7 linked regions of the Tribolium castaneum genome follow. The main gene of each other region encodes a partner of the protein of the gene in region 6 in a complex. Links are inferred from orthologs where the notes say so. Each region holds a gene or a part of one and is shown on either strand. Other genes may lie near its edges.

What was found.
Region 1: MED4 (region 6) and MED7 share a complex: the UniProt entries of both Drosophila melanogaster proteins name them as parts of the mediator complex. The link is inferred for Tribolium castaneum from reciprocal best matches to the Drosophila melanogaster genes MED4 and MED7.
Region 2: MED4 (region 6) and MED8 share a complex: the UniProt entries of both Drosophila melanogaster proteins name them as parts of the mediator complex. The link is inferred for Tribolium castaneum from reciprocal best matches to the Drosophila melanogaster genes MED4 and MED8.
Region 3: MED4 (region 6) and MED1 share a complex: the UniProt entries of both Drosophila melanogaster proteins name them as parts of the mediator complex. The link is inferred for Tribolium castaneum from reciprocal best matches to the Drosophila melanogaster genes MED4 and MED1.
Region 4: MED4 (region 6) and MED23 share a complex: the UniProt entries of both Drosophila melanogaster proteins name them as parts of the mediator complex. The link is inferred for Tribolium castaneum from reciprocal best matches to the Drosophila melanogaster genes MED4 and MED23.
Region 5: MED4 (region 6) and MED18 share a complex: the UniProt entries of both Drosophila melanogaster proteins name them as parts of the mediator complex. The link is inferred for Tribolium castaneum from reciprocal best matches to the Drosophila melanogaster genes MED4 and MED18.
Region 7: MED4 (region 6) and MED31 share a complex: the UniProt entries of both Drosophila melanogaster proteins name them as parts of the mediator complex. The link is inferred for Tribolium castaneum from reciprocal best matches to the Drosophila melanogaster genes MED4 and MED31.

The regions. Positions count from the first base shown.
Region 1 is NC_087402.1:3,009,378-3,013,097, forward strand, and holds MED7 (mediator of RNA polymerase II transcription subunit 7), read right to left. Parts: upstream 1,517-3,720; coding exon 1,325-1,516; intron 1,278-1,324; coding exon 804-1,277; 3' UTR 789-803; downstream 1-788. Other genes in the region: cass (apoptosis inhibitor 5), read left to right, coding at 1-234, 283-436, 485-558; small ribosomal subunit protein eS10, read left to right, coding at 1,845-2,285, 2,335-2,370; RING finger protein 141, read left to right, coding at 2,537-2,676, 2,722-2,943, 2,991-3,134, 3,233-3,398. UniProt on the Drosophila melanogaster protein: Component of the Mediator complex, a coactivator involved in the regulated transcription of nearly all RNA polymerase II-dependent genes.
Region 2 is NC_087396.1:15,800,717-15,805,504, reverse strand, and holds MED8 (mediator of RNA polymerase II transcription subunit 8), read left to right. Parts: upstream 1-1,450; 5' UTR 1,451-2,534; coding exon 2,535-3,053; intron 3,054-3,099; coding exon 3,100-3,465; 3' UTR 3,466-3,558; downstream 3,559-4,788. Other genes in the region: CTD small phosphatase-like protein 2, read right to left, coding at 4,340-4,405, 4,456-4,551, 4,602-4,788. UniProt on the Drosophila melanogaster protein: Component of the Mediator complex, a coactivator involved in the regulated transcription of nearly all RNA polymerase II-dependent genes.
Region 3 is NC_087399.1:8,910,722-8,915,266, forward strand, and holds part of MED1 (mediator of RNA polymerase II transcription subunit 1), read right to left. Parts: intron 2,114-4,545; coding exon 131-2,113; 3' UTR 1-130. UniProt on the Drosophila melanogaster protein: Component of the Mediator complex, a coactivator involved in the regulated transcription of nearly all RNA polymerase II-dependent genes.
Region 4 is NC_087394.1:35,203,203-35,208,318, forward strand, and holds the start of MED23 (mediator of RNA polymerase II transcription subunit 23), read right to left. Parts: upstream 3,403-5,116; coding exon 2,989-3,402; exon of another isoform or gene 2,944-2,988; coding exon 1-2,943. Other genes in the region: stress-associated endoplasmic reticulum protein 2, read left to right, coding at 4,807-4,890, 4,949-5,059. UniProt on the Drosophila melanogaster protein: Component of the Mediator complex, a coactivator involved in the regulated transcription of nearly all RNA polymerase II-dependent genes.
Region 5 is NC_087394.1:9,285,757-9,289,579, reverse strand, and holds MED18 (mediator of RNA polymerase II transcription subunit 18), read right to left. Parts: upstream 1,863-3,823; 5' UTR 1,705-1,862; intron 1,654-1,704; 5' UTR 1,652-1,653; coding exon 983-1,651; 3' UTR 950-982; downstream 1-949. UniProt on the Drosophila melanogaster protein: Component of the Mediator complex, a coactivator involved in the regulated transcription of nearly all RNA polymerase II-dependent genes.
Region 6 is NC_087397.1:1,784,055-1,788,263, forward strand, and holds MED4 (mediator of RNA polymerase II transcription subunit 4), read right to left. Parts: upstream 1,989-4,209; 5' UTR 1,867-1,988; coding exon 1,799-1,866; intron 1,749-1,798; coding exon 1,055-1,748; 3' UTR 793-1,054; downstream 1-792. Other genes in the region: uncharacterized protein LOC661495, read right to left, coding at 2,088-2,320, 2,370-3,013, 3,061-3,329; beta-PheRS (phenylalanine--tRNA ligase beta subunit), read left to right, coding at 3,668-3,725, 3,778-3,833, 3,889-4,049, 4,098-4,209. UniProt on the Drosophila melanogaster protein: Component of the Mediator complex, a coactivator involved in the regulated transcription of nearly all RNA polymerase II-dependent genes.
Region 7 is NC_087401.1:17,494,715-17,498,725, forward strand, and holds MED31 (mediator of RNA polymerase II transcription subunit 31), read left to right. Parts: upstream 1-1,862; 5' UTR 1,863-2,301; coding exon 2,302-2,314; intron 2,315-2,357; coding exon 2,358-2,465; intron 2,466-2,522; coding exon 2,523-2,851; 3' UTR 2,852-2,908; downstream 2,909-4,011. Other genes in the region: uncharacterized protein LOC656943, read right to left, coding at 1-770, 823-1,031; uncharacterized protein LOC103313299, read left to right, coding at 3,785-3,814. UniProt on the Drosophila melanogaster protein: Component of the Mediator complex, a coactivator involved in the regulated transcription of nearly all RNA polymerase II-dependent genes.

The sequences.
Region 1 (3,720 bases), on a different chromosome or scaffold from region 6:
AAAGATTTCAGAGCAAGACTGGTTTATTTTTCTAGAGGAGTGCAAGGTTGCAACAAAGTTCTGAACTCGAAGCCGATCACAGGCCTAGATTCCGTGAACGCTTCAAAAGCCAAAATTGCGCCCTCGCTACTCAACAACATCAACGTTTTGATCAAAGACTTGTTCTACCAGCCCCCAATGTACAAATGTAACGTCACGCTTTCTTTCAAGCAGGAGGTTGTGGAAAAGGAATTGGTGGGATTTTCGATTTAGTCTTCTAGTCTTTAAAATTAAAATTTGCAGAGGAAACCGGCCACAAGTGGGCAAAAAAGACATGTGCCTATCACGTTCGATAATGGCTCTACAGGGACTAAACAGACCCGACCGGCTCGTTCGGGCGACAACGTTAAATTGTATACACCACCTAGTGGAAAGTTTAGTAATAACTTCCAATACGGTAAATTTTATGGGAAAAATGTCTATTTGTTTTAATGATTGGTTTCAGATCGTGGGGGTTCACGAGGTAACAGGTCGAGAGGCCGTGGCTCCCGAGGAAGGGGCAGAAATTGGAGAAATTAATTTCAATCACCCTTCTAACAGTATTGCAGAAATGCAATTCAAATCATTATGTTCAATGCTTATTAGTAAGTTATCAAAACAATACACAACCCGCTTGTGTTGTAAATACCCTAGATCTTATTTTTTTTAATTAGTTCAAGTTAAAACGTGTGCTGGTTTTAATAGTTTGTGTAAAACCTCTAGAAATTTAACAGAATATGTTTTCTATTGTCTTAGAGTTCAATAAAACATTTGGAAAACTAACTTTATTGCATATCATCCACAATCTTGCACATAATCCTATCCAAAATAAAGCACGGGTCTGATTTGTTGTCCTCCTTTGAAGCCTTCTCTTGGTTTACTAAAAGTTCGGTTTCTACGAGCAACTTTGAGTCAACTTCCATGGGTTCAGGCAGGTTTTGAATCGCTTGTTGCAAAATTTCCATAACTTTGTCTAAATGCTTCTGGAACCTATTGGCGGTCTCAATCCTTTGTCGCCTTTGCAACTCCATCATGACCCTAAGCGTCTCCCTAGCCTGATGTGGCCGGAATTCGTTCAACAAGTGGTGAATGTGAATAAATAACAGACTTAAATCTTCGACTTTCTCAGCCCGCTTTGGCGAGTCGGGACAATTCACAAGTAGGTCTAGCAAGTCCAAGAAATTGGCCAACAATGACTGATTTAATTTTTTCAACTCCCTTCGTCTATCAAAGTGGAGTGGATACAAACGTTTGATTCCCTAATAAAATTATTAGTTTTAACCACGGGACGTATTTAGGGACTTACTTGACTCTCCAAAGGCCTGATTATGCTCTCTTCGGTATTGAAGGCATTGCCGAACATATGATACGTGTCTTGAATCGGAGGCGGCGGCCTGGGGGTTCGCCCCCGCCGGATCATCTCGTCCGTGTAGTGGTTGATGTACTGCATGGGGGGCAGTGGCAGGGAACTCACCTGGATCGCTTCCGACGATGCCATTATTTATTTTAATACAATAATTAAGAAAAATACAGTTGTTGACAAACGACAAATGTCAAAATTACATAAAAACCATCACAAAAACCTAAAATTACTAGTTTATTGGCAAGCCTGTTCCTTTTTCAGTTTGACAGCTGTGGTAATACCGCGTCAAGTAAGCTATTTTTTAAAATTCGTATTTATCTTAATCATCTTTGTAATAAATTTGACGAAAATCAATCACAGATCATTCTTTTTTCCTTTATCGTGAATCTTAGCCCTTTTTGTGGAGTTTAATTCACGTTAGGGTTTGACATGTTTTATAACCTCAACCACGGTTGATTTTAGGATGTTGATGCCCAAAAAGAACCGGATCGCGATCTATGAATACCTCTTCAAGGAGGGCGTCATGGTGGCTAAGAAAGACACCCATGCCCCTAAACACCCCGAATTGGAAAGTATTCCCAACTTGCAGGTGATCAAAGCTTTGCAGTCTTTGAAATCGAAGGGATACGTTAAGGAACAATTCGCCTGGCGGCACTATTACTGGTATTTGACAAATAACGGTATTGAGTACCTGAGGACCATTTTGCATTTGCCGCCTGAAATTGTGCCCTCAACGCTCAAGCGACAAGCTAGGACCGAAACAACGCGTGCTCGTCCCACGCCATTCAAATCAGAAACTTCCAGTAAGCCTGCCGAAGACCGTGCCGGATACAGGCGGACTCCCGGGGGGCCTGGATCTGATAAGAAGGCTGATGTGGGGGCTGGCACCGCTGATTTGGAATTTGTAAGTTATGGTAGGGGTTTTTGACGATTTTTACCACGGTTTGTTACAGAGAGGAGGCTTTGGGAGAGGAAAAGCGCCCCAATAAATTAAGTTTTTTATTACAATAAGGCATGATCAGCAAATAAAACCTTGTCGATCGTTAATTGTTTTATTAATTCCCTTTACTCCTGTATAGAGGACGCCATTATAGACGTCATTGTGACACTTGTCAAAATTGTTTACAATAATACATGTGATTAATTCGTGTAATAATGGGACAACAGAGTTCCCAATTTCACGAGTATTTTAACGATATAATCACGGATGAGCCCGTGCTTACTTTACTCTCTGAAGAAATTCATACTCTTAGTTACGAGAAATTTTTGACAATACTTGGGGAACTCAACCAACTGTAATAACAGTTCCTGTGTGGTTGTTATTCATTGTACTATTTTAGCTCCAAACAGCGTTTAGATTCCGAGGGGAAACAGTTAGTGTTTGCTGTAAAGAAAGGGACAGATTCTACAGTTTTCTGGAAAGCTACGGTGCAAATAGCTTGTGTTAAAATTGACTCTAATACTCAAAAAGTGAGTACGTACCGACTGTTAAACCTTTATGAGTTTTTAAAAGTGTTCAAGACACTTAAATGTCAGTCTTCAGCTGAAGAACAGAGCCGAAAGTATGACTGTTGAGCTAAAGTTTTTTACTGATTTAACTTTTTATTAGTGGAATGTCCGTCTCACAAGTGGTTCACGATATTACGGACAGTCCTGCAGAGAACACAAAAGAATGTTGCATTTGTTTAGAAAGGAAGCATGAAGTTATTTTGCCCTGTATGCACAGTTACTGCTTGCCGTGCATTGAGGAATGGTTTGTTTTTTTGAACTTGATCAGAAATCGGAAAAAAATGTTATTAAAAATCAACTATGATACTTTTGTTATTCAAGTAACTGTTAGATTTTTTTAAGGAATGCCACTCATGACACGTGCCCGATTTGTAGAGAAAAACTGGAAAGTACCGATGACACATGGGTTATATCTGAGGTGCCAGAAGCAGAAGAGATTAGCAAAGAAATCAAGTCCAGTTTGATGGAACTTGCTGAAGACAAGGAATCTCCATGTTTACCTTCTTAATAGTCTGACATATGATTTCATGTTGTTAAATGTTATTTTACGAATTGATAAATACATCTCAAAACATACTGTGTAGTTATTTATTCACGTCAAAAGTGGCGCGATCTATAGGTTCACCAATACCACGACAGAGAAAACAAAACCTAGAATAACACTTATAGAAGCGGAACATAATGGTTGGCAATGAATTCCTAGCTGAAGCCATCTAGCCGCATCATCACGTACTAAAAATGGCGCGAATTTAAAATAATTCCGATTACTTTATATTTTTTTAATTTTTGCTCACGTCAAAATGATGCCAATACCTTATCAAATACAATTA
Region 2 (4,788 bases), on a different chromosome or scaffold from region 6:
AATTAATTATGACAAATGTATTTGCCTATAAACGTCTAAAATTATAAAAGTTTCGCATGCAGTCAATGGAAAAATAAAAATGCATGTTTTTATTTAAACAGAAACTGGCAATGTGAAAGTTTGGTGCGAAAATTAGTGGTATCGCAATGCGTATAACCACATTGTTTGTTTGTTTCGTTTTGTTGAAAATTCGGTAGGTTCCAAAAGTAGGGTTATGTTGTCACCCGAAAATGACAAAATTTACACTTTTATGAATTTTGTCTCCATCTCTGCCCTTTCAGAGCGTTATGATAGGATATTTAGGGTCGAAATCTCTACCTTTATTATGTGCTATTGCCAGATAAGGACAAAAGTTCAGAAAGTAGGGTTAGGGTGTATTATGATCTCTTCTGAAGTGTTAAATTTTAACTTTAATGTTTTTTGTGTGCTTTCCTGCTCTTCTAGAGCGCTATTAATTATTATTGAACATGTTTAAGGACAGACAAATCTACCTTGAGTCAACGACATAAATTTCAGTGAGATTTATTGAAAAATGCACTTCTCGTGTCAACCTTTTCATGAAAAAGGGTGTTTAAACGTTTATAAAGGGTATGTTAACGTGTGTTGTTAACTTTACCACGTAATAAAACATAAAGTATAACTTGGTAATTTTTTACTTTAACTACTTCTGGATTTTCAAGCTGAAACTTACACCAAACGATTCCTCTGAGTGCCCTGATGACCGTACACTATGAATTTTCTTGTGCAAATTGAAAATAACATTAGAAAAATAATTTTTATTTTCACTCACTTTTTACTTGAATCGCCATTTTTGTTGATTTTAATTTGAGTTTATTTTTTATAATATCACGTTAATTTTTATTATTATAGTGGATCAAAATGTCGTCTTTAGGTTAGACTATTGCCTACTATCGGTTAGGAACAACATGATCTCCAAAAATATAACGTAGTAATGAGCTCCAGAAGGTTTACGTAGATAGGTGCGTTTTTCCCAAAAGTGAGTTTTTTGAGATCGAACCGCAAGTGAGTCACACTGCGAGGAGACTCCCATAGACAGAAGTTGCAAACATAAGGTGCCAGACCGGTGCCAGTTTGGCTGATTGCAAGTATGTCTTTATCATCGATTCGGTGACGACTATTAGTTTCGTAAACTTAATGGATTTAATAAATATCTTTAACATTAAATGTGATCGTGTCATGTTGGGTAAAATTCTTCCATCTGTGCTGTCTGTGCATCCACCTTTTCAAATACAATTAAGAAATTTTCATAATAATTGTATTTGATAAGGTATTGGCATCATTTTGACGTGAGCAAAAATTAAAAAAATATAAAGTAATCGGAATTATTTTAAATTCGCGCCATTTTTAGTACGTGATGATGCGGCTAGATGGCTTCAGCTAGGAATTCATTGCCAACCATTATGTTCCGCTTCTATTAAAGTGTTATTCTAGGGCCACAGCCATTGCCGTCTCGAACTCCAGGCCGTCAGGTTACTAGCTTTTGTTTATTGTGACGTCATCGTAAGAGTCGTGACATTTGTTCGCATCGTTTGAATATATTGTACTTTTTGGTGTTTTTGAGAGTGTTATTAAGTAATTTGTTGTTGTTTACGAATTTGTTGTTTTGTGGTTGCGTTGTAGGGAATGAATTTTGTGTGTTTATAGTCTTGTGTGACGTGATTTTGACAATTATAGGTTAGGATAGTTTTGCATTATTTTTGTTTATAAATTTGGTTTTATTGTTTTTAATCGTTTAATTTGGTAATAAATAAGCAGATAAGGCATATTTCAGTCTCTAAACCTAACATACTTAATCCTATTGCATTCCTAATTTTAGAAAATGCCGAATAAGTGTTGTGTTCCCAATTGTGTGTCTAACATGAATGGTCCTTATGTACCTATGTTTTCCTTTCCCAAACAAGAATCCCTGCGATCATTATGGTCAAGAAAGATACCCCGAACTAATTGGACTGTTACCAAGAACAGTCGTGTTTATGTGAAATATTTTCGGGATGATTTTATAATAAAATATCACGAAGTGACTAGAGATGACGTAAAATTCTTCGTCATATTCTTATACTTTCGATCACACTTTTACGACTAATTTAAAACATATTTAGCGAATAATAACATGTTGCATTCCATAAGAACCTGTGTTAAAACTTGGATAAAACGGTCGTCTTTAAGTCGCGGTTATTCAAAATTTAGGCCCATAAGGAGAATTTTTGTATTAATAGACGTAACTTTAGACGTTTAAGTACGGCTAGATGGTTTAAACTATCAAAAAATATAAACTTTAATATATGTTTTTCGGGTAATAACAAACGGATAAGGTACTTTAAATCACAACGTATGTCACTATAAAAATTATAGTTGACCGTTCGTTGACCACATTTGCAGTATCAGGATTCTTTAGATACACTTTTCCGTCGTTTCTTGCATAAAACGTTGGACGCAACATAGTTAAAATTAATTTTTTGCAAAAATTCAGAAAGTTAGGTTATGATCATTTAGACTCTTACTGTGACGTCACAATGTCAACATGCAGGCCTGGAGTTCGAGACGGCAATGCCACAGCCGACATACCGTCATCGTGGTTAAGGTTATGTTTTTGTAAACAGCGCCAAAAATACAGCAAAATGCAACAACGGGAAGAAAAACAACTCGAATCGTCTCTCGATTCCATAATCCAGCGTGTCAACGACCTAAAATCATCGATAGCTTCAATGATTTACAAGGTGGAGAATGAATATGAGACCCTCAACTGGCCCACATTTTTGGACAATTACGCCCTTATGTCCGGCCAACTCACCTCCCTTTCGAAGGTTTTAAGCCACGACAAATGCCCCACCCTCAGAAATCTCACAGTACTGCCCCTCATGTTGTCCCCCGAGCGGGACGAACAATTGGCCCAAATGACCGAACACAGAGTCACAACCTTCGCCCATGATTTAGTCCCAGATTATCTTCGAACCAAACTAGAACCGTTGGCGGAGAATAAAATGATGCAATTGGAACACAAGGCGTCAACTTTATCGTATGAGAACGCACAGGTATGTTAAAATTTTTGGTAGAGTATGTTTCAACGCAAACTTTCAGAAACAAATTGCTGCGTATCAAAAGGTTGTGTCCCACGTTTGGGAACTGGTGAGTAAAGCGAGGGAGGAGTGGGAAGTTGAGTCTTCCGCCAGGGGAAGTACGCAGCAGAATTCCAGTGTGGCTGATACTCACTCGCTTGTGGCGGCTGTTGGAATGGGGAAGGGACTCAAGATGGGGGCGAACCCTAACGGTCAGCCCAATCCCACGTCGGGAGGGATGATGGTGCCTCCGCAGGGGCGCCCAGGGGGCACTCCCGGGCAAGGACAGATGCCCCCCAGCACGCAAACCATGACGATGAATAAGGCGCCCTCTGCTATTAAGACTAACATCAAAAGTGCCACCCAAATACATCCATATGGACGCTAGTGAAATAGTTTTTAATGTGTACGGAGATATATTTATTTATTAAGATATAATCTTACAAAAATAACTAAATATAACAGTGGAAACAAAGATTAACACTTTGTAGCGTAATGAGTAGATTATAAAAAGCATTAATTTTATAGACTTTGAAACTATACTATCAACAAATGGTTGAAGTGTGGCTGGTCGGAACGGGTGGCTTTTCCAATAAGTACAGCGGAACTTGAACATTTTCACGATGTATGTTAGCACATGCTACGCATTATATAAAATATAAAACATATAACATTTAGAATACTTGGGACCCAGTCAAACAAAAATTAACAACTTAAAAAAATATTTTCTACAACGTAACGCGGGTGACTGGACCCTGTTTACGTATAATACGCATTTAAAAAAATATAACAAACAACAAATAAAATACTCTTGTGCATAAATTGCAACTATTCTATGGTCATATATTTTCCTTACATGGCAAGAGAATTTTCCTAAGTTTTTGTTCCCTATATACAAAGTGGTACAATAAAAGAATTCAACTCTTTATACTCTCTAATTTGTTAATATACTTTTGTTTCTTAAAATACTGACCAACAATTCATAATTATATACAATCTAGGTTCTCTCAATTTTAAAACCAACCTCCAATTGTAATAATTTCTTTCATATTGCACAATTAAATCACCGACAAAACACAACAGTTGAATAAAACGGTTACTTATAAAATAATGTATAAAAGACGTTCCGAAAGGCACCTCCAGTTGCGTCATAATTTAAAGAAACAACAGACGTCAGTCAGTACTTCAACGCAATGGGACTCAACGAAAACAAACAGAGTATTACGTGGGTATGAGATTGTCTATGCGACTACAGCTGCCAATTAATCGGGGGGTAAGTAGCTGAAGAGTTTGAATTTGTTGCGAATGTGTGGCCGAACATCCTCTTTCTGCAAGATGAAATATTGGGTTTTGCCCAAACAATTCAAAATTTGCTTACCATTTGCACAAGATCTTCTAAAAATGGTAACAGTTTCATAAGTTCCGAATCGGTCCTGTCCACGAACCAACTTTCAATAGGTATGCCGTTATTAAGCTTTAAAAAAACTATCAGTAAACTATGCAACCACAAAGACAAAAACTTACATGGTAACCAAAGGCTTGTGGTGAATTATCAATAATGATAGTCTTGGAAAGATCTCTGCCTAGTATCGAAAGATCCTTAATGTAGTTGCCGTTGACACACACGCAATGCTCCCGAAACAGCCGATACTTGATCCACTTCCTTTCCGGATCCAGCAGATTCAATAATTTATCGGCATAAACTCGCTTC
Region 3 (4,545 bases), on a different chromosome or scaffold from region 6:
ACTGGAAGACGCAGATCACACTCAACCAATCGCACTGTATATACGAGGCGCGCGCACAAACTCGCAGACCTAACCTCCCTATTTACACCGAATTTGAGATTAGGTCGTGCCCTACCTTACCGGCCGTGTCCTATTTTCCTATACCTATCACCGCCTCGTCCATCAACTCATCGTCAGTGATACACGGCGAGGCCGAATGTGGACTTGGTGCGATCAACGGCGACGGCGCCGGTGACTTAACTATATGAACACTAACCGAAGGCGATTGGGGAAACGTAACCACGGCTGCACCCTTATCGATTTTTCCGGCCGCCGAAAAGTCTAAAAGCACATCGTCGTTCTTCTTCACGTCCTTTTTATCGTCTTTGGGGGCGGGCGCCACGAACTTCGACGTCAAATCGATGCTCTTCGTGTAGAGGTTGAGGGGTTCGGAAATGGGCGGGAGCACCGATTTGGACACCGCGATTGGATAATTCACTTTATAGGCGGAGTCGTCCTTGGTCTGGGCGAGGTTCTGGGGTTGGTCCTTTTTATCGTCTTCGTCTTTCAGTTTTGGACTAGAGCTAGGGAGGGGCGTGACGTTGTTCCTCAATTTGACATCGACCGCATTGTCGAAGGTTTTTTGAGGGAGGGCGAGGGGGTATTTGAGGTCCGACTTGTTCATCATATCGAAGATTTTCGTATCGACAGTCCGATTGATGTTGTTTAAATTATCCGAACTTACTTTCGGTTTTTTGTCGTCGACTGATGCACGTGCCGATAGTTTCGGTATTTGGAAATTTTTGTCTAATTGACGCACTGTCATTAAACCCTCGACAATCGAAGGTGGGTTATAATGATCCATTTTCGACATCTTGTAAATACCGTCACTCTCGTCCCTGTTTGAAGTCGGACTCGATTTTCGGCCATCCTTCGACGTGAAAATCGACTTCTCTGAACTGCTTTTGTTCAGTTTTGGGCGGTCTTTTCGGCTCAAATCGGTCGCACTTTTCGGTGAATTACTCAGTTTTGTTAGTTTCGAAGGCCCGCTTGATAGTTTAGCCCCCGAAGGGGCTTTACTCTTCAAACTTGAATAATTGGGGCCACTTGTCGAATTTACAAGTTTTTGCCCCAAATGTTGGGGTTTTTTCGACGCAGGGCCGCTGTTAACCCCCGGTTTTAACCCCGTGTGAGTTTTGGGCGACCCTGAGCCTGATTTACTCACACTTGTTTTACTTTCTTTACTTCTGGTTTTATTTATTGTGATTTTCATGCCGTCCGAACTGGGCTTAACCATATATTCCGAATTTTTCGTTTCACCGATTTTCCCACTTTTTCCCTCGTTTAGTTTCGTTGAAACTTGCCCACTTCTGTCTTTGTTTCCTCCACTACTAGCCCCCTTGCTACTCAAATCGGTGACTCCATCGCAATGTTGGGCCGACTTTAACTTATCGACAATGGCAGACAGTGAGCCTTTTCGGTTCCTCACTTGATTCGAAGTCGCTGATTTTGACAAGTCCGTGGAACTGGGTGACGGTAACCCGTCCTGAACCCCGCTCAAATTTTCAGTATTCAAGTCCAACGGTTTCACTTTCACTGATGATTTATTTTTCGACGCAACGTTAAACACACCCGAAATTTTTTTCTCCTTGTCTCTGGACGAATCCTTCGAGGTGGATTTCGTCTTAGAATCGGAATTTTTCGGTGAGTTCGCGGCACTTTTCAATGTGGACATGCTCGGTTTACCGGAACCACTCGTCGAAGGGTGTTTGGGGGAAGTACCGTGGCTTTTAGGACTCGAAATACCGGGAATTATGTGTTTAGGACTACTGGGAACATGGGCTGGGGAGTGTTTAGGACTGTGATGCGATGAGCCCGTTTTGAGAGTGGGTTTCATTAGGTTGGGGCTTAGTTTACCACTCATGGAAATATTGCGATTTTGAGTGGGCGAAGCGTTGAATTTTCGCATCATGCTGGGGCTTGTTGGGGTGCTCATGTTGAGGGGCGGAGACTCGGCCGGTTTTATGCTGACGGTGACCGGTTTGGTGAGGGGGTCCTGCTTCGGGGGCACCTTGTCCGGGGGGCCCATCGGGCTCTCGTCGCGTTTTCGCTTACGCTTCTTCTCAAGACGCCCCTTTAACGGGAAAATCAGGAAAAAATCGTAAGTGAACAAATAAATCAACAAATTTGTGAAATTTTATCGAAAGCGGGTCAGGCCTGCTAACCACAATAAAGAAATTACTTTAAAATACAAAGATTGGAGCCGGAAAAGTTTTAGCAGTTTTACAAAAATCTTGGGTTTTTAGCTCAAAAATGTGCCCAACTATGCAAAAAAGGCAACAAATAACAGCATAATTTTGTGATATTTCGAATTGTTTTGGACAAAAAATTGCGTTCCTGATTGCAAAACTTACTGAGACATGTAATTTTTGATTACATGATGGTTTTCAGGTTGTTAGTGACATTTCACAATATATCTGAGATTTTTAATTAAAAAAGATAAATCTTCGTTAAAATTTTTTGTTTTAGTTTGGCGTAATTTTGACAAAATTTCGATCGCAATGAACAAAATTGAGTAAAACAGCCAAAATACTATGAAATTTCAAGTTATTTTGTGATTTTTTGACGTGTTTGATCAAAATTTTACAAAACAAATAAGTTTTAGGTCTTAAAACGAAATTAATCATTCGAAATAAGCTATAATACCAATTTCGATCTAATTACTTGCCTAAAACAATATACTCATGAAGAAGGCAAAAATAACGCCACTTTCGGCCTGATTTGGCGATTATTCGTTTTGTTTTTTAATGAAATTTTGGTAAAATAATATAATTCTCCATTTAGTTTGTTGAGTTTTTGGTTAGTTAAAAAAAATACTTAAAAAAAACTTGCTTAAACGAATGAAAATTTCGCTCAAAAACGAACTAACTCAAGTAAGATTGTTTAACTTGTTGATTTCTCGGTCAGTTTCGGTAAAACACAGTTCAAAAACTTGCTTAAACCATCGAAGAGATTAAAAATAACAGTTTTTTGTTTTGTTTTTCTGGCTTATTTTTGACTCAAGCACTTTGAGCTATATCACTTGAAATAAATAATATCATAAACTCGGATGCGTGATTATGATTTTTAGGCAAATTCTGATGACTTCATGCAAAATAAAACAGTATCTAATTCAAACACGAACTAAATAGATACAAACAATTTTAAATAAATAAATGAATTTCGGTAAAATTTGGATATTTTCAGCTATTTTTTGCAAGCTGTGCTTAAACGCCAGATAAAGGCAGAATTAACACAATTTTCGGTTTAATTTTGTCATTTTTCGATTTGTTTTTACCGAAATAATAGCGTTTTTGACTACATAAACCTGCTGAGGCGCTCAAAAAAGGCAAAGATAACACTTCGATAAAAAAATACGTATTTTCGATTAAATTCTGATCAAAATGAAGAAAAATGAGTGAAACAGGCAAAATACCATTAATTTGCATTTATTTTTGCGTCTTCTAGATATATCTTGACAAGATCTTACAAAACAAATAAGGCTATCTGGTCTAAAAACGGATTACCGAAATAAGTAAAAATGACAATTTCGATCCAATTTTGGTGATTTTTCACAAAAAAAAACAAAAATGTACTTAAATACGTGCAACTATGGCAAAAATAATACCCTGTTCGTCCTAATTTGGTGATTTCTCAGCAAAATTTAATTCAAAAACTTGCTAAAACTTTCGGAAGGGGTAAAAATAACATACAACACATTTTTAGTTGTTGTTCTGGCTTATTTTTGACACAATTTCGTTCAAAAACAAGCTAAATCACGTGAAAAAAATAAAATACCATCAATTCGATGTGTTTTTGTTATTTTTAAACATGTTTATGGCAAAACAAAATGAGTATCATTTGGTTAATCATACACTAAAGTGAGAGAAATAATCCAAAATAACATAAATTTGGATCACATTTAGTAAATGTTTCAGCCAGGTTTGGTGAGCTTTTCGTAAAAAAAGTGTCTTTAAACACAACCAAATTCTGGAATTTTTCGGTTTGTTTATAACAAAAATTTACAAAATAATTGCGTTTCTCCCGTAAAATTTACTAAAACAAAGTAGCCAAAGATTTATGTAATTTTCGCTTGTTGATTTTTCGACCTATTTCAGCACAATTTAGTTCAAAAATTTGTTTAAACTATCGAAGAAGATAAAAATAACACTTTTTTTGGTTTTCGTGGCTTATTTTTGACACAATTTCGCCAAAAAAAAAATTTCAATGAAACAAATAAAATAACATCAATTCTGGCTTATTGTTGTAATTTTTAGGCAGGCTTATTCAAAACAGGTGAGTACTATTTTCGAACTAAAACGAAGAAAATAATCTAAAACCTATAATCTATACCACAAAAACCTGTTTAAACTGCTAGTAAAACGCGTAGAAAACGTTTTCGACCCAATTCTGTAATTTTTCAGCTAGCAGTAAAAAAAATTTGCGAAATAATTGCGTCTTTGCTCGTAAAACCTATTAAAACACTTGAAAAAGGCCAAAGATTGTGTGATTTGTTGATTTTTCCAC
Region 4 (5,116 bases), on a different chromosome or scaffold from region 6:
CGCTGCCAGAATTAAACCAACAGCATTGACCCACTGGTGGATGTCTGACGAGGGAATTGTGACATAGCCTTTGGCCACGACGTCTAGCAAACCGTTGGCTACGGCCACCGGACCGGCGGACAACGCCATCAGTTCCACACAGCTGGTGTAAAGAATATGAGCCCCGGCGTTTGGGAACTCATTGAACCGCCAATCAATTACGGAATTGGCAGTGGCGCCCCCTAGAATATCAACGACTCGCTTGACCACTTGTATGTAATAGTCCAGTTCGGGGGTCCACATCTCGTCAGCAGCTCGTCCGAGGTACAGTTGGTAGGGCTCCGAAAGACTGTCTTTGAGTGTCCCTAAGACAGCAGCCACCAACCGTCGTTTCAAAGGTGGACGGTCCCTAAGCCTAGTCTCGTAATAGTGCAAAGTGTTGTACAAATAAGTGACCGGACGGTCATGAAACTTGTACAAACAACCCAAGTGTTCTAACAGAATCTCCAAACTTTTGGTGACTTGCGGTATTTCCAAAAACCGGTGCACCACTATATCAAAAACCGGCAAAAAGCGCAAACACACGTTGCCAAAATAGGGGTGGTAACCACTTGACTGTTCCTCGGGGGCAAACTTCTCGGGGTATTTCCGGTGAAACTCCAAGTGTTTCTCGTGCCAGTTGGTCTGGTTCCAATGATCGGGCGAGTTGTCTTTGACGAAATCCTGCACCCGATTCCTAAACTCTGTAGCTTTAAGCAACACCAACTGGATGATGAACGAACAGACTTGAGCCTCGCTCCCTTCCTGCGTCCGCAGCGCCAAACACAAGACCAACCGATCGATTGTCACAATATTGTACTTCCAGATCATGTCATTGATCGTATCCACGCATTTGTTAACATGTTGCCCCCCAGGACTGTTACTAAACTCGAACACGAGACAATCACAAAACTTCCTCAAGTGGGCCGAAAGCGCCCTTGCCCCAATCCTCTCCAGGATTTTGTAGGCAATTGGCGTGATGTGATCAGTCTCGAGGAGCATTTTCCACAACAAACAGAGGAAAAGTGGGGGCGCTCCCGCAACCCCAAAATGCGCCATCATGTCATTTTCGTTGTTCATGGACGACCACTTCCGGTACTCCTCCTCCACTGCTTTCTTCAATTGTTGTTTGTTTTCTTTAGGGACGGCATGTTGCGTGAAAAACTCGGCCAGAGCCCTGGGGAAGCATTCGAGGGTGTGGGGGGCCCACGCATGGGGGGTACTTTGTGCAATGGTCGCCAGCAACTCGTGACACCACGAGCCGTCGGCCCCCGTCACGTGCGTGGCCCTAGCTAGGGTCAAAACCAGCGCCCGATTCAACTCTTCCGATTCCGCCGAAATTAACGTCTTGGGTTCGGCTAAAAAGCGGCTCAGTTCGGGCTGAACTTCGCCACTGCCCAGCCCCGTGATTAGACGCAAAGCGGTCGATTCGACACATAAGTGCAGTTGGGTTTGGTTGGCTTGCGGCACCGCTGCCAACGAATGCAAGTGGCTGAGTAACTGGACACGGTAGTGGGGGTGGATGTGGTGCATCCGATAACTAAACATCTCCAGAAGTGTGTAAAGGGTGCCCCAAGCGTGTGACTTGTATACGGTTGGCAACAACTGGCTTATGAACCCTTTGATGCCCAACGATTCGATCTCGGTGTACACCAACAGGCGACTGTACGTTTCCACCAAAGCTGGTGATAGTGGCATTCCTAACTTGGCCTGTGCTAGTTTAATCACGTGTGTGACAATACTATGGATTAAGCTCATTTTCGAATGCACAGTTAATGAGTCCAAGACGGCCATGCTTAAAGGCGCGGTAGGTGGGGCTGTTGATTTGGGGCTCCCTTGGATCGTCTCAACTAGCGCTGCCATTGGCTTACTGTAATAATCGGGGTTCGTTGAGTAGGCGTTGCACAACAAGGCGATTCTGTAGTCATTTCCCATCGCTAACACGGTGTTATTAGGGGGCACCAACTGTTGGAGGAAATCATGATGGTTGCGTAGTTTGGCGGGAATTGGCCAAGTCAAGTTGGTCATTTCGGCTTGCGCTTTCTTAGTCAAGTGGATCCAAATGCACGTCATTGCCATCTGTCTCGTACACTGGGGCTGGTTGAAGTCCGGAACGGGCAAAGGGGGCTCCTGTTCCGGAAACAACAGTTCGTAAAGCCGCAAAACTGGGAGGAAATTCGAGAGGGGGTTCTTCTGAATCGAACCGGAAATAAACTGCAAGAGGACCCACATGAGTTGGTCGCGCCCTCTCCGCAAGTCGCGCCCTTGCAGTCTCGAATGCAACGATATAACAATGTTTGGGAAACTCGCAAATTGGAAAAGAACAAAATAAATTAACTGGGACGACAAGTGCAGCCATAACCCTTGAGTGGCGCTCTCATCGCCCTCATTTTCCGTGCGTTCCAGCGCCAAAATCACCAACTCGACCAGTTGTTCCTCAAGGGCGGCACAGTGTCTCTTGTGCTGTTTCTGCAACCCTAACATGCCACACACCATGTCGCGACTGTACGGCTGTTCCAGAACGTATCGTAATAAACCGGTTTGCTTCTCTAGTAATTCGGGAGCGTACGGTAAAGTGCCCTTAAGCGAGAATCGCAACGTGCACGGGTCAAGTTTCCAGGGATTGACCAAGTGTTCGGGACAGCCGCTGTGCTCCACAACTGGCCGCATTTCCGCCTGGCCTACGATAGCCACCATTTGGGCACAGGCCCGAAAACTGCCAACGTAATCGGAGAAGAGGGCAGCAAGGCGCCAGTGGGGGCAGTCAGGGTAGGCCTTCTGGAGCTCGTTCACTAGGAGATAGCCAGGCAGGAGGCACGCGTTCCTGTCCATGATTCGTTCAGCGACGCTTAAAAGAGCCTGGGTTTGGGGCTGCAAGCCCGCGTTCAAGCGCCAGGGGAGACTTTTCGCCTTCTCGCAACATCCCTACAATCAACAATCAAACAATTACCACAACAATTCCCCACTTACTTTCATAATTTCGCGAACGCCCTTGTATTCAACCAAATCTATAATTTTCCGCACGAGTTTAAAGCACTCGATCCAGAACCGCGCATTGGTGTGTTGTAGTTTATCGAAATTCATCACCACCTCACACACGATACGGGCCCCAATGGTACCGTTGCGCACGACACTTTCCAGGAGCTCCATCAAGAGCTGGAGCTTGCTTTGGGAACATAGTACAGCAGTGTTGAGGTACTGGCGAAGGGCGGTGTCTAGCTGCTCCTGGGGGATGCTCCGCAGGGCTGTGTTCAACTCTTGTTGCCATACAGCCACCTTTTCCTTTTCGGCACTGGGGCGGTGCACTAGAAAGCAACTAAAGGCTTCTTCGATGCCTTCAACTTTGAGAATGTCGGTTAGGACGTTTGTTAGTGGCTCGCCCATCGTGTCCACGGTTATTTTTCAGGCGAAAACATTATTTTGTGGTTATTTGAATGGGATAATAACGGTAGGTTATGTTTGGCCGACTACATGTTTAGGCAACACATTATACAAGCGCCTAACACTGCAGAACCGTATTCGATTATTTTGACTTGCTGGGTGAATCCTCAGAGATAATAAATAATTGCGTGCGTTGTAAGATGTTATCAACTCTCAAACAACGTCAATCTAAATTATTCCATACCTAGCCACATTGTAATAAAATTCATATCAGCCCGAATCTATTCGTTTATTTGCATATCCACTTCATACGTGAAAATTTGTTTGCTTATCTTTTAATAAAGGCAATATTATTACCGCACGTCTCGTTCATTATGCGCTTAAAGAGTTCTTTTTGTCTCACATTTCGATATGAACTCACAGTTCATAGAACAGGTGAGGTGTCACTCATTTAAATCGTTTTAATTTATTTGTTTCTTCTCCCTAGGTGCAAATTTTAATGCACGCTCAACAAATTAAATGTGCGGAAAGTATTTTTGGGAAATCAAACTACATGTGGCTTTGCAGCAAAAGAACTCCCGTTATTTGGATGTCGACGAAAGATGAATTCTTAATTCGACAAGCCCTAACAAAGGTACAATTTAATTGTTGCAATTAAACGTGCAATTATCCTTCTTTAGGTCACTCCTGACCAACAGGTGAAAGTTATGAAACAATTATTGACTTGGCTGGATAATAATCCCGAAGTCCACTCTTTGAAAATCCCTGAAATGTCGCTAAAGCTCCTCAACAACATGGCTAATGCCAATGCCATGAATGAAAGGACTTTTTCAAGAATGAATAGTTTCAGAAACAGTCTGAGACGCTTGTCCTTAATTACGAACCGAATCGCTCCCGCAAACACACCCAGAAGATCCGTAACTTTCAACGACGTTCCCATAATTTACCGCATAAAATACTGACAAAAAAGTAACGAAACCTTTACAATATCTATGTAAAATTTGTGCCGAAATAAATGCACCTTAAAATTTTTGTTTTTTGAAAAATCTGAGTTAAAAATCAGGGTAAAAAGTCAAATTCAACGTTGTTTTTGATGTTTGAAAAAAATGCATAGAAGATAGGAAAATGACCAAGAAAACTAGGCATATACTTGATTATCATAAATTATTGCAAATTGAATGAACCCATTGGAAATTTCTAGCACTCCCTCCCTTGTTTGAAATTCTCCACGCGTCCGTGGCGCATGCGCATTTTCATCTTACGTGTCAAATAAACGTCAAAAAAGCGCCTCCCTTGCCCCTCTCCGCACTTTTCGGGCCAGTGTCGAGGCACGGACGTGTCAAAAACGCGTGTGTATGTTTTTCTGTTGAATTATTTCCACTTTTCCGTATTTTTTTCCTGTGAACGATGGCTCCCAAACAGCGGATGCGTTTCGCCAACGAAAAGGCCAGCAAGAACGTGGTCTTGCGAGGGAATGTGCCCAAATCGTCGGTGAGTACGCTGGACCATATTGTTTGTTGATGGGGAGCTGACGGTGCCCCTTTTGCAGAAGCAGCAAAGCGAAAACTCGCCAGTGGGGCCCATGATCTTGGCGCTGTTCATCTTCGTCGTGTGCGGATCGGCGATTTTCCAGATTATCCAGTCCATTCGGATGGCGTAGGCTAGGCTTCCCTCAAAGGCTCAATTCCTATCGTGTATAAACCGTGTCTGTTCAGTT
Region 5 (3,823 bases), on a different chromosome or scaffold from region 6:
AGGGAAAGGTTTAGCAATATTTTTTTAAGGATTTTTCAAGGCTGTGTAGATTGCTGTTAATTTTTAAGATATCAGTCAAAGTTTGGGAAAGTAGTTAAAATACCAGGTGTCATCACTTTGGTAGACACCCCCTAACTTTTTTATTTAAAAAAGTATAAAAAGACATATTCAGGGTTTTAGGGAAAGGTTTAGCAATATTTTTTTAAGGATTTTTCAAGGCTGTGTAGATTGCTGTTAATTTTTAAGATATCAGTCAAAGTTTGGGAAAGTAGTTAAAATATCAGGTGTCATCACTTTGGTAGACACCCCCTAACTTTTATATTTAAAAAAGTATAAAAAGACATATTCGGGGTTTTAGAGAAAGGTTTAGCAATATTTTTTTAAGGATTTTTCAAGGCTGTGTAGATTGCTGTTAATTTTTAAGATATCAGTCAAAGTCTGGGAAAGTAGTTAAAATACCAGGTGTCATCACTTTGGTAGACACCCCCTAACTTTTTTATTTAAAAAAGTATAAAAAGACATATTCAGGGTTTTAGGGAAAGGTTTAGCAATATTTTTTTAAGGATTTTTCAAGGCTGTGTAGATTGCTGTTAGTTTTTAAGATATCAGTCAATGTTTGGGAAAGTAGTTAAAATACCAGGTGTCATCACTTTGGTAGACACCCCCTAACTTTTTTATTTAAAAAAGTATAAAAAGACATATTCAGGGTTTTAGGGAATGGTTAAGCAATATTTTATTAAGGATTTTTCAAGGCTGTGTAGATTGCTGTTAGTTTTTAAGATATCAGTCAAAGTTTGGGAAAGTAGTTAAAATACCAGGTGTCATCACTTTAGTAGACACCCCCTAACTTTTTTATTTAAAAAAGTATAAAAAGACATATTCAGGGTTTTAGGGAAAGGTTTGGCAATATTTTTTAAGGATTTTTCAAGGCTATATAGATTGTTGTTAGTTAAATCTTAATTGTATTTTATTTATAAATAAATTACGGTAAATTTCCAAGTCTTTTATAATCGATTTTTTCAAGCTGAACCAACGGCCTCAACTGCTCGGCAAAAATTCTCATATCCTCCGCAATAGCATCTTGTCCACTCGGGGCCAAAACGGACAATTCAACTAAATAACTCTGGGAAATCGCTTCTACGCCTTCGCCCGGCTTACTCGTCATGCTCCCCATTTTGAAAATCTTCGACACTGTGATTTTCATCCTGCCTTTGCGGAACATGTACCCCCGGGCGATGTACTCAAAATCCACTCTGCATCCAAGCTCGGTCAAAAATTCAACAATTGTGGAACTGCAAGCCATGTCAATACTCGATCTGACGACTGTTGGCCGGTTCTTGTCGCCTAGCTCCTGTTGCCCCACGTAGCGCAGCTGCCAGGCGGCGTCGGGCACGTCGAGGGCTCGCCGGACTCGCAGTGGGAGCACCATGGGGGCCCCTGGGTTGGTGGCCCGGAGGGTGAAACACAATTCGTGGTCGTGGAACGACTCAGGGCCGCTGTCTACGTTGTCGCACAGCCCGCGCAAGCGGTGGAGGAGCACCTCGACGTATTGGTCCAAGACTGAGCCCTGGAGGAGGTACTCCTGGTTGGGGATTATGTTGCATTTGAGGGCGGCGTTTAGGGAGTCGATGGCCGTGCCAGGAGTCCCCATTTCTGTAACAGTGACAATCACTTTGCGGAAAACGGCCTATTTCCGACAATTACTGAAGATTATCACAGTTTTTGGAGGTTATGTTTTGATTGAAGTGTAAGTTGTCAGTGTATGTCGGCGGAGACAGCCCCAAAAATGGTGGTGGCACCATGAAAATTACAGTCGACCAGACAAGGGCTGCGCGCATGGAGCTAGCACCGTTTCCCCACCATTCTCGTTTTCTACAGCCAAGTTCACACCAGGAAAATTATCAAAATAATCGTAATTCATTATAAAAACATCAATAAGTTGTTACGCTGACTTGCATAACACATTTGTAGAACATCTCCTGACCATTGTAATGAGTTTCTATTACAAATTAAAACTTAACTGTATTTAATTTCTGCATTTTTTATTCTCATATTCAAGCAATGCAAACTGATTTTTTTTCACCCCCTTTATATGCAATTTTCTTTATTTTTGCAGGAGATTAAGCTCTTCGATAGGGCCTTTGACTGTTAAAAATCATGTTCGGACAAACACCCCTTGGGACCTTAATGAATTTTTAAAGATTCTTTAAAATTTTCCGATTTCGCAAATTTTATCTTTAAAAATTCATTACAGTATTCAGAATGGCCTCCGAAGGGCGAATCAGTTATTACAGGAAATGAGGAAAATAGTAAAAATAACGAATAAGAATTTTGCAAAATGCTTTTATAGAAAAGTTGTTGTACTTTATGTTTTATTACGTGGTAAACTTAACACACCTTAACATGCCCTTTATAAACGATTAAACGCCCTTTTTCATCAAAATGTTTAAGACGTAAAGTTCATTTTTGCCCTTTATACATTTCAATAAATCATACTGAAGTTTATGTCGTTGACTCAAAGGTAAATTTATCTGTCCATAACATATTCAATAGTAATTAATAACGCTCTAAAAGAGCAGAAACAGACACAAAATCCATAAAAATGAAAGATTTGACATTTCCAAATGATAACATAACCCTACTTTTAAAACCGAATTTTCTGGAGACTTAAATTTAACACAATTTGTGGCGATACCAGTAATTTTCACACCAAAATTTCACATCAACGGCTCGTTTGCACAAATAAAAGGAGGAAAATAGTGAAAATAATAAATAAGAGTTCTGCAAAATGCTTTTATAGAAAAGTTGTTGTATTTTATGTTTTATTATATGGCAAACTTAACACACCTATACATGCCTTTTATAAACGATTAAACGTCCTTTTTCATCAAAATGTTTAACACGAAAAGTTCATTCTTGCCCTATATACATTTCAATAAATCACACTGAAGTTTATGTCGTTGACTCAAAGGTAGATTTATCTGCCTATAACATATTGAATAATAGTTATAAACGCTCTAAAAGAGCAGAAACGGACACTAAAATCCAAAAAATGAATGATTTGACATTTCCAAATGATAACATAACCCTACTTTTAAAACCGAATTTTCTGGAGACTTAAATTTAACACAATTTGTGGCGATACCACTAATTTTCACACCAAAATTTCACATCACCGGCTCGTTTGCACAAATAAAAGGAGGAAAATAGTGAAAATAATAAATAAGAGTTCTGCAAAATGCTTTTATAGAAAAGTTGTTGTATTTTATGTTTTATTATATGGCAAACTTAACACACCTAAACATGCCTTTTATAAACGATTAAACGTCCTTTTTCATCAAAATGTTTAACACGAAAAGTTCATTCTTGCCCTATATACATTTCAATAAATCACACTGAAGTTTATGTCGTTGACCCAAAGGTAGATTTATCTGCCTATAACATATTGAATAATAGTTATAAACGCTCTAAAAGAGCAGAAACGGACACTAAAATCCAAAAAATGAAAGATTTGACATTTCCAAATGATAACATAACCCTACTTTTAAAACCGAATTTTCTGGAGACTTAAATTTAACACAATTTGTGGCAATACCACTAATTTTTGCACTAAAATTTCACATTATCGGCTTGTTTGTACAATGGAAAGGGGGAAAATAGTGAAAATAATGAATAAGAATTTTGCAAAATGCTTTTATAGAATAGTTGTGCTTTATGTTTTATTACGTGGTAAACTTAACAACACACGTTAACACGACCTTTATAAACGATTAAACACCCTTTTTCATGAAAAGGTTGACACGAGAAGTTCGTTTTTCAATAA
Region 6 (4,209 bases):
CTACCAGCTCACTCTCATTACGTTTCCAGTCCTTTGAAAACGTGCTCTAGGCGAATCAAATGAGAGTATTTTTCTTGATATTTGAGTAAATTAGGTAACAAGAGAAATTCCGTTTGTTGCAAAGGTACTATTATTTTTGGAAAGTTGAGACACTTTGTGCTGTTCTACAATAAGTGCATCGCCACTACCTTAACACATGGTAATAATGGGAGTAGAGCTGTTAAAAAAGAATCAGTTATTGTCGATATTCATTAAAGCGTTGTTTAATCAAAGTGCATTGTTAAGCTCAAGCACCACCAGTTGATCAAGCCTTGGAAATGAGTCGCCTGTATGTTATTGATTTATTGATACCCATATCGCGTAATAATGACAATAAATAACTCGTTTGTTAAAGTATTTCGAAAAATTGATTACAGTTGGAAACTTATCATTATCGATACTGTGATACGATAATGTCATTGTTAAGAATATCGATAATATTCGGTGACTTTCTCTCGTTTTTCAGCCCTAGCTCTGCTGTAATAACGCGGTTTAATTTTCAAATTATCACACTACGACCCTGTGATAAAAAACTCACATATCCGATAAAAATTTAAATCAAAAAACCTACTTGTAAATTTGTACCTATCATAAAGACGCAATCAAAACAACAAACTTGTTTTTATAGAAAGTGAGTGTTGTTTAGAAATTTCAGAAAATGAGAAACTGCTTCATTTTTGTGATTATCATTTCATCAAACAATAAATTTGAATCACTTCAGCTTGTAGGGAATAATTAAATAATAGACGTTGGTATTACAATGAAATGTGTTTTATTTTCCTTCCATTATAAACAAACATAAGAAAACAATATTCGTCAGACGCAAACAAAGATCTTATCTAAACTGTCACGAAGAGTTGATTGATGAGATAAGCAGACAAGACTTTTTCCCCAAATAGCCGCCTCAATCTATTGATTTATCATTTTATTTCCCCTCATGGTATACTCTCCACACAAACTCGCTTAATTTTTTTATATAAATATGATGAATCAAGTCCAGGGAAAAAACACAAAACTACTGAGAATCGCTTGAGGAACTGCTGCTGGAGTCCGTGGACATGACCTCCACATCCTCGGTCTCCTGTTTATGGTTCCGCGTGTCCATCGGGACACTCCCTTGCCCCACACTCATGTGAATCTCCCCCGAGGGATGCCATGCAAATTGATTTTGTTGCGCGGCGGGTATTTCCCCCGGGTGCCCCTGTCTATGTAAATCTGACAAACTGTTCTGCTGTTGCAACAAATGCCCGTTAATTGGATCGCTCATCAGCCGCCCCAGCAGCCCCAACCGCATCTCAATATCGGTGGGGTACGGCCGGCGCGGGTCCCCCTGTTGCCACGTCAAGGGGGCACATATCGCATTAGACGCGCTAATCCTGTGCGCAAATTTGATAAGTTCCTCGGACGAGACCGGCCGTTTATTTGCGCGGGAAATGGACTGGAGTTTCTGGTTGGCTTGATAAATCGCAGTGGCCAGGATTTGCTCGGCCTCTTTGAGCTGTTTTTGCAAGTTGTTAATGTCGTTGTCCTGACGCTCCACTTCGGCCTTCAAGATGTCCATTTTTTTGTCGATTTGCGCCTGTTCAGCGGCCAGTTTAAGGGTTTCAGTCAGTTCGGTGTTTTTGGCCACCAAAAGCTCGGTCAGTTGAGCGTATTCAGGGCCGGAAAGCTTGAGGTGCTTGGGGGCGATTGAATTCTCGATTATTTCTCTAAAAAACGCAAATAAAACCATACGAAATGACCCGAAAGGGGGACGTACTTGGAGATTAACTCAATATCGTCGAGGATGTAAAGGAGTTTTTCCTTCGTGCTCATTTGAGACGACATAATGATGGGGAAAAACACTCACGGGTTTAAATATTAAACGAAATAATCAATTGAACAGTTTTTATTTCGAACACAACCTCAAATACACAAATGTCAAAATAACGCGCACACTGCGATGCCATCTGCCCAGAGAATAACTAAATCGTAAGAGCGGGAATTTTAATCGAAAAAATTACTTTATTGAAAGAAACCTAAGCTAAATTAAAATATATACACAAAATTCAATTCTCTTCACTCTTGACTTGAACCGCCGGCTCTTCCTGCTTCACATCGTCATCCTGTGTCTCATCTTTACTATTCTCATGCAATAAAACGTACTCCCTTGAGCTGAACCCAAACTTGATCACGTCTTTCTCCAACAACTCCACATATTTACTCGGCTCTATCTTCTTATTATTGATAAAAGTCCCATTAGCCGAGTTCAAATCAATCAAATACGGCCTTATTCTCTTCCCTGAAAAAAACAATGAAAAACCCAACACACTACCAGCTGTCCCACAAACCAGTGGTGCCATCCTCACGCGTGAAAGGGACTAGGCGATACTGCAAAGCTGCGTGTTGTTTTGAGCACGAAGGGTGATCTACAGGGAGATCAACAACTTTGCGATCGCGCCCAATCAAGTAGGCGCTTTCGCGATGTATGTATAAAGTCTGAAGGGCCTTTTCGCCCTTAAAAGGGTACAACCGCCACCGACGTTTCGGCTTGCAAGCCTCAGGCGGCTCGCTATATTTTATAACAACGCCACGATAAGTGTTAGTTTCTTCGGTAAGTTTTCCCGAAAGACCGAAATTCGGTTTTTGCTTTTCCTTCTGGTCTTTTTCCTTCTTGTCGGATTTTTTGTCGTCCGACTCGCGGCCCCAACGGGCGTTCGAGTGGTCAAAGGAGGCGCTTCTGCTACGCCGCCTTGGATGGTTCTCTCTGTTTCGCTCCCGGTTGTGGTAATTTTTGTTATCGTCCCGTCGGTTCCTGTAATCCCGTTCCCTGTCTCTGTAATCAGGACGCCGGTTTCTGAACCTGTTATCGTGAGAACGGTGGTCATTGGGGCGGTTTCTCCTGTCGTCATGCCGCCCCCGATCGTCCCGGACCCTCTTATCGTCCCTCTCCCGCCTGTCCCGATTTTCAGGCACAGGACTCCGCTTGCGTTTCCTTTAAACACAACTAGTATTTTCCCTTAAAACCACCAACAATCATACCTGTCGGTTTCTTCCTCATTTGTTGGCTTTTTGTCCCTCTTTTTTGCCTGTTTATTCGCCTCGTCACTTGCCACAGGCGGAGTTTCGTGTTTTTTATGCGAGTTTGCCTTCGTTTTGGTTTTCTTCGGCGATTCTTCAGTCTCAGGTTTCGATTCGGTTTTCTTGCTTTTACGTTTCGGGCGCCGTTCGGGTGATGAATCGGAGCTTTCGCTGCTTGAATCTGATGAACTGGAGCTGCTGGAAACGCGCTTCTTCTTCTTTGAGCCCATTTTTTGTTTGTTTGGGCGAAGTAACTTTAAGGTTATAAGAAACGCTACGTCTCGCAATTGACAGGTGTGCCAATACAACCGGCGAAAAAAAATATTGTGGGAAAAAATTAATTAAATTTGCATTATTATGTTCCGATTATAGTTCTGACGAAGACTAATTGTTAAATAATCTTAAAAACTGGCGTTTTTTCTCGAAAACTGATCGCTGATGCTGACAATTGACCCAACCTCAACTTTTGACATTGACAGGTCCCGCACATGTCATCGTTTTTTCAGTTGTGAAACACTTTAAACGTGTTCATTTTTAGACAAAAACGTGATAGTAAATAAAAAATACAATGCCGACTGTGGGTGTCAAGCGCAATTTGCTATTCGAAGCCCTTGGGCGCACTTTCAGTAAGTTGTTTGATCACTGTGCCCCCTTATTGCCCCAATTTGCAATTTCCAGCCGACGATGAATTCCAGCGTTTATGCTTCGAGTTCGGTCTTGAACTGGACGAAGTCGTAAGTATTAATCTTTCAAGCGATAAAATGATGCAATAATGCCCTAAATTTCAAGACAACTGAAAAACAGATGATAAGTAAGGAACAAGGGGAGGATTCAGCCCAGGCGGCGGGAGCCTCCGAGGAAGTCATTTATCGAATTGACATTCCTGCAAACAGATACGATTTATTGTGTCTTGAAGGCATTTCATTAGGAATTAAAATATTTCAGGGGAAGTGAGTCATTAGTTTTGCCTTGACTTTGGCACTGTAATGTTTTTGTAGAATTCAGCCGCCGGTTTACAAACGTATCAAACCGTCATCAGACAGTATTCAAAAAATTCACGTCACACCCGAAACGGCGAAAATCAGGCCTTATATCGTAGGCGCCGTTTTG
Region 7 (4,011 bases), on a different chromosome or scaffold from region 6:
GCCTCCCCCCAACTAATCACATTGTCGTTGTTTGACGTCACGTGGTAGACTTGCACGTCACGTGACGGTCCCGCCCCCTCCTTCCAGCCAATCAGGAGAAGTGAATTAATCGCACTGTCAACTGGTACGATATTTGCCTCCAAATAAGGGTCACAATGCATTGATCGAATCACTCCTTTACCCGCCCCTACCAATAATCCTGTTGGTCCATTTAAATTATCAACCCAACCAGGAATTGGTTCGCGCCAAGCGGCCGTAACAATCGACGGTCGAGTGATAACCAAAGGTAACTTTGATTTGTATTCACTCACCAATTGTTCGGTTAAACATTTAGTATAAGCGTACGTGTTTGGTGATTTTTTTAGTAGTTTTGGAGTTAAAGTTTTTAGCGTTTCGTCGTCCATCCAGGTCACTAGATCTAGGATTTTTCGCGGGTCATGTGGCGCATTGTATAGTTTTTCCTCAAGTTTGACTTCATTGCAATGACAGTATGATGTTGACACATGAATGAAAATTTTCAATTGTTTGAAACAGCACGCCAGATCTAGCAAATTTTTTGTCCCTCCTGTATTCAATAGAACCGCGTTTTTCAACGGTTGGTCAAATCGCACGTTGGCAGCCATGTGAAACACCAATTCGACGTTATCCGTTAAAGTTTTCTCATCATCGTTTGATAGATTTAATTTAGTTTGGGTAATGTCCCCAGAAATGCAGTAAATCTTATTTAGTAATTTTTCGCCGTCGGGTTGGTCACGCAACTTATCGAAGACCTAGCCAAAAAGGCGTGTGATTTAAATTTTGACAAGTGATAGACATACGTACAGGACAATTGATGATATCTTCAAGTCTTTCGTTAGGTTTTTTCCCTTTTTTTGGACGAACTAACAAATAAATTGTTGATAATTGAGGACATGAGCGTAGTAATTTCTCGATTAGTACTTTCCCCATAAAACCAGTGGCGCCCGTGATGAGGATGTGTCGGTTTTTGTAGAATTCCGCAACCGCTGATTTATTGCTCATTGTTGAGAAACCTCAAAAACGATTAAGAATTGATTTATTTGCGTGTTGTGTAACGTGCACGCCACTGGTGAAAAAGTTAGGTAATAGGACAGTGGCGTACAAGGAAATGTCAAACACGATTTCGGCAAATATTTGATTGTGGACACAGCACTTGTGATAAGTAGCCGCGTAACAATACACGAGTTTTTGCACAATTGCTTTAACAAATAGAAAAAAATTTCAAAATAATGCAGTGAACTTTTTATGAATTTCGTCAATTCTCATTAATACATTAATAAAATAATAAGTAATGTGTTTCCATTAAAATTAGCAATGATAAATTACTGATATTTACTAAATTAAACAGTGAATTAATTATTGCATCAAATTTTTTATAAAACAAATGATCGAAAAATGAAGCAAAATCATATAAAAGGGTGACTTTGTTTTTTATTTTAATTATGATTACCAAGAAACTTTAATTTAATTAAAAATTGTAAAAATCGAAAAGCATTTTTTTAATTAATTCTTTACTTAAAAAGGATTTAATAGTAATAATAACTGATAATAATTAAACCGTAATTACAGTAAATTAAAAAGAAATTATGATTTTTAAACATATTTGAGACTAAAAACGCTAATCAGGCGTTAAATAGCTGATTAAATAATTAGAAAATTGTTAAATTAATTAATGAAATAATTAATGATAAGATAATTCAAAATTACAATAAATGAGCCAAAAAAAACGCGATTAAAGTCCTCACTTTAAATTTTTTATTGATCCCGCAAAAGTGAAAAGAAAAAATCTCGACTTACTGAAAGGCAGCAACAAAACAATAAAATTGTTCACACACAAAGCAGCAATGTTTTGTAGACAAAGCCGCAACCCATCCACCTGTTTTCATACAAATACCATTACCATATACCACCACCATGGGAATTTCCATGAAAATTCCTCGTGTTGGGGATCATTATGTTAGTCAGTTATTTTCTTATTGGTGGTCAATTTCCCGCTCAATTAAATAACTGGGCTACTTTCACCAGCGATTGATTTTTCCACACGCTTCTTACAACATGTACCGTTTCGATCCGATTTCTTATTATTGAGAATTGAATTACGCAAGAATAATACTTTCAATAGAAGAACAAGGGAATTTGCCAAGCCTCTAATGGTCGCTTTTCTATTGTTGTTACTTGTGACATTTTAAGTGCACGCTCTTACAACACGAACTTGCATTTATCCTAATTGATTAATTAAAAAAATTCGAATTCGAATCACGCGCCATTTTATGCACAACAAACATGGCTGGGAAAGGTAAGCGTCCTTTAATTAAATTTAGGTAATAAACAAGTTTTAGGCTGGAATTATATGTCAGGGGCTCCGGAAACCGACGATCAGCAAAGACTCCGCTTCCAGATTGAGCTAGAGTTTGTGCAGTGTCTCGGAAATCCTAATTATCTCAACTGTAATGACGTAACCTCACTTTTTCGGGAGGGAAAAAATACAATTTTTTGCGTTTTAGTTCTCGCACAGCGTGGTTATTTTAAGGATAGTACGTTTGTTAACTATTTGAAGTATTTGCTTTATTGGAAGGAGCCCGAATACGCCAAATATTTGAAATATCCAATGTGTTTGTATTTTTTGGATTTGTTGCAATATGAACACTTCCGGAGGGAATTGGTGAATGCTCAGTGTTCGAAATTTATCGACGATCAACAACTTTTATTGTGGCAACACTACACCAGGCGGAGGAGTCGTTTGTTAACCCCTTCGAATGTTAACGGGACAGGTGAACAAAGTATTAACCAGAATAGCCAAAGTAACGGACATTTGAGCAATAAAATCAGCTAGGTAGGGTACAAATGTGATTTTTTGGTGGTTAAGTGAAATAAATTATTTTTTTGTTTAGTTACATAAATCACCAAGATCCCACCAATTGCACCAAAATCCCACCCATTTCCATCCAAATCACAATTGATTGGCTGTCGCTGTAATTAAGGTAAGTTCCTTGTTTTTCCTTAAAAATCGTAAAAAATGCAAAATTTGTAACAAACCTCAAAACCAAAAGTCCCTGAACCCGCCCCGCCAAATTCAAATACAAGTTCCGTTTCTCGACCCAATTGGACTTAACTGTACACGAAATCCGCTCGACTTTCATACACCAAAAGTGTACTTGGCTTACACGATTTGTTTATTAATAATTGTTGACATGGTTCTATTAACAATCAAATCAATCATTTCGTTTCGATGCGTCCAACAATTAAAATGAATTTTTTCAAAATAATTTTTGTCGTTATTGTGATAATTTTGTGTGCTAGTGATGCGAAAATACGCAAGAAAAATACCAAAGGTTTGATTTTGCGGCAAAAAGAAACGAATGCGATTAATTTTCTCAGGTAAAAAAATATTGTATCATACAGGATTTTTATGGAAGTTTGCAGACTGGCGATTATGAGGCTTGTATATGGGGTGGCTACGCGATTGGGTTTTGGCGAACAAATCGCAGTGGCCTTAAATGGGGCTTTTGTGCCTCCGGGGGTTGACGATTACGATTATGGGGGTGATGATTATGGGATTTTGGACAGGGATGACGATTACGACTATTAATTTATTTTGTACAAATGTTTAAATAAAATTATTTTATCTAATCAAAGGCACCATGATTCATTCGTAGTCATAACCAACCATTATTTGTTCGTAGACAGTTGGTTTTTTCACTGAGCACATTTTCTTGTTGAAATCACGCAAAAAAATGAATGAATGTTTGTGTAGTGCATTTTTGTGATGATTCTTTCGCCAGATATGTCATTGAAGGTAAGCATGATTTTATTGATTTTTTTACGATTTATTGAGGTTAGAATAAACAAATGAGTGGAAGTGATGCGGCAACTCGATTCGCAGAACTGTTAAAAATAGGATAAGGAATGTCAAGGATGACGTGATTGTCCGCATTTAAAGCACTGGGGTTTTCCTTGATAAAAGTAAAATTAGAACTCGATTTTTTTATCGAA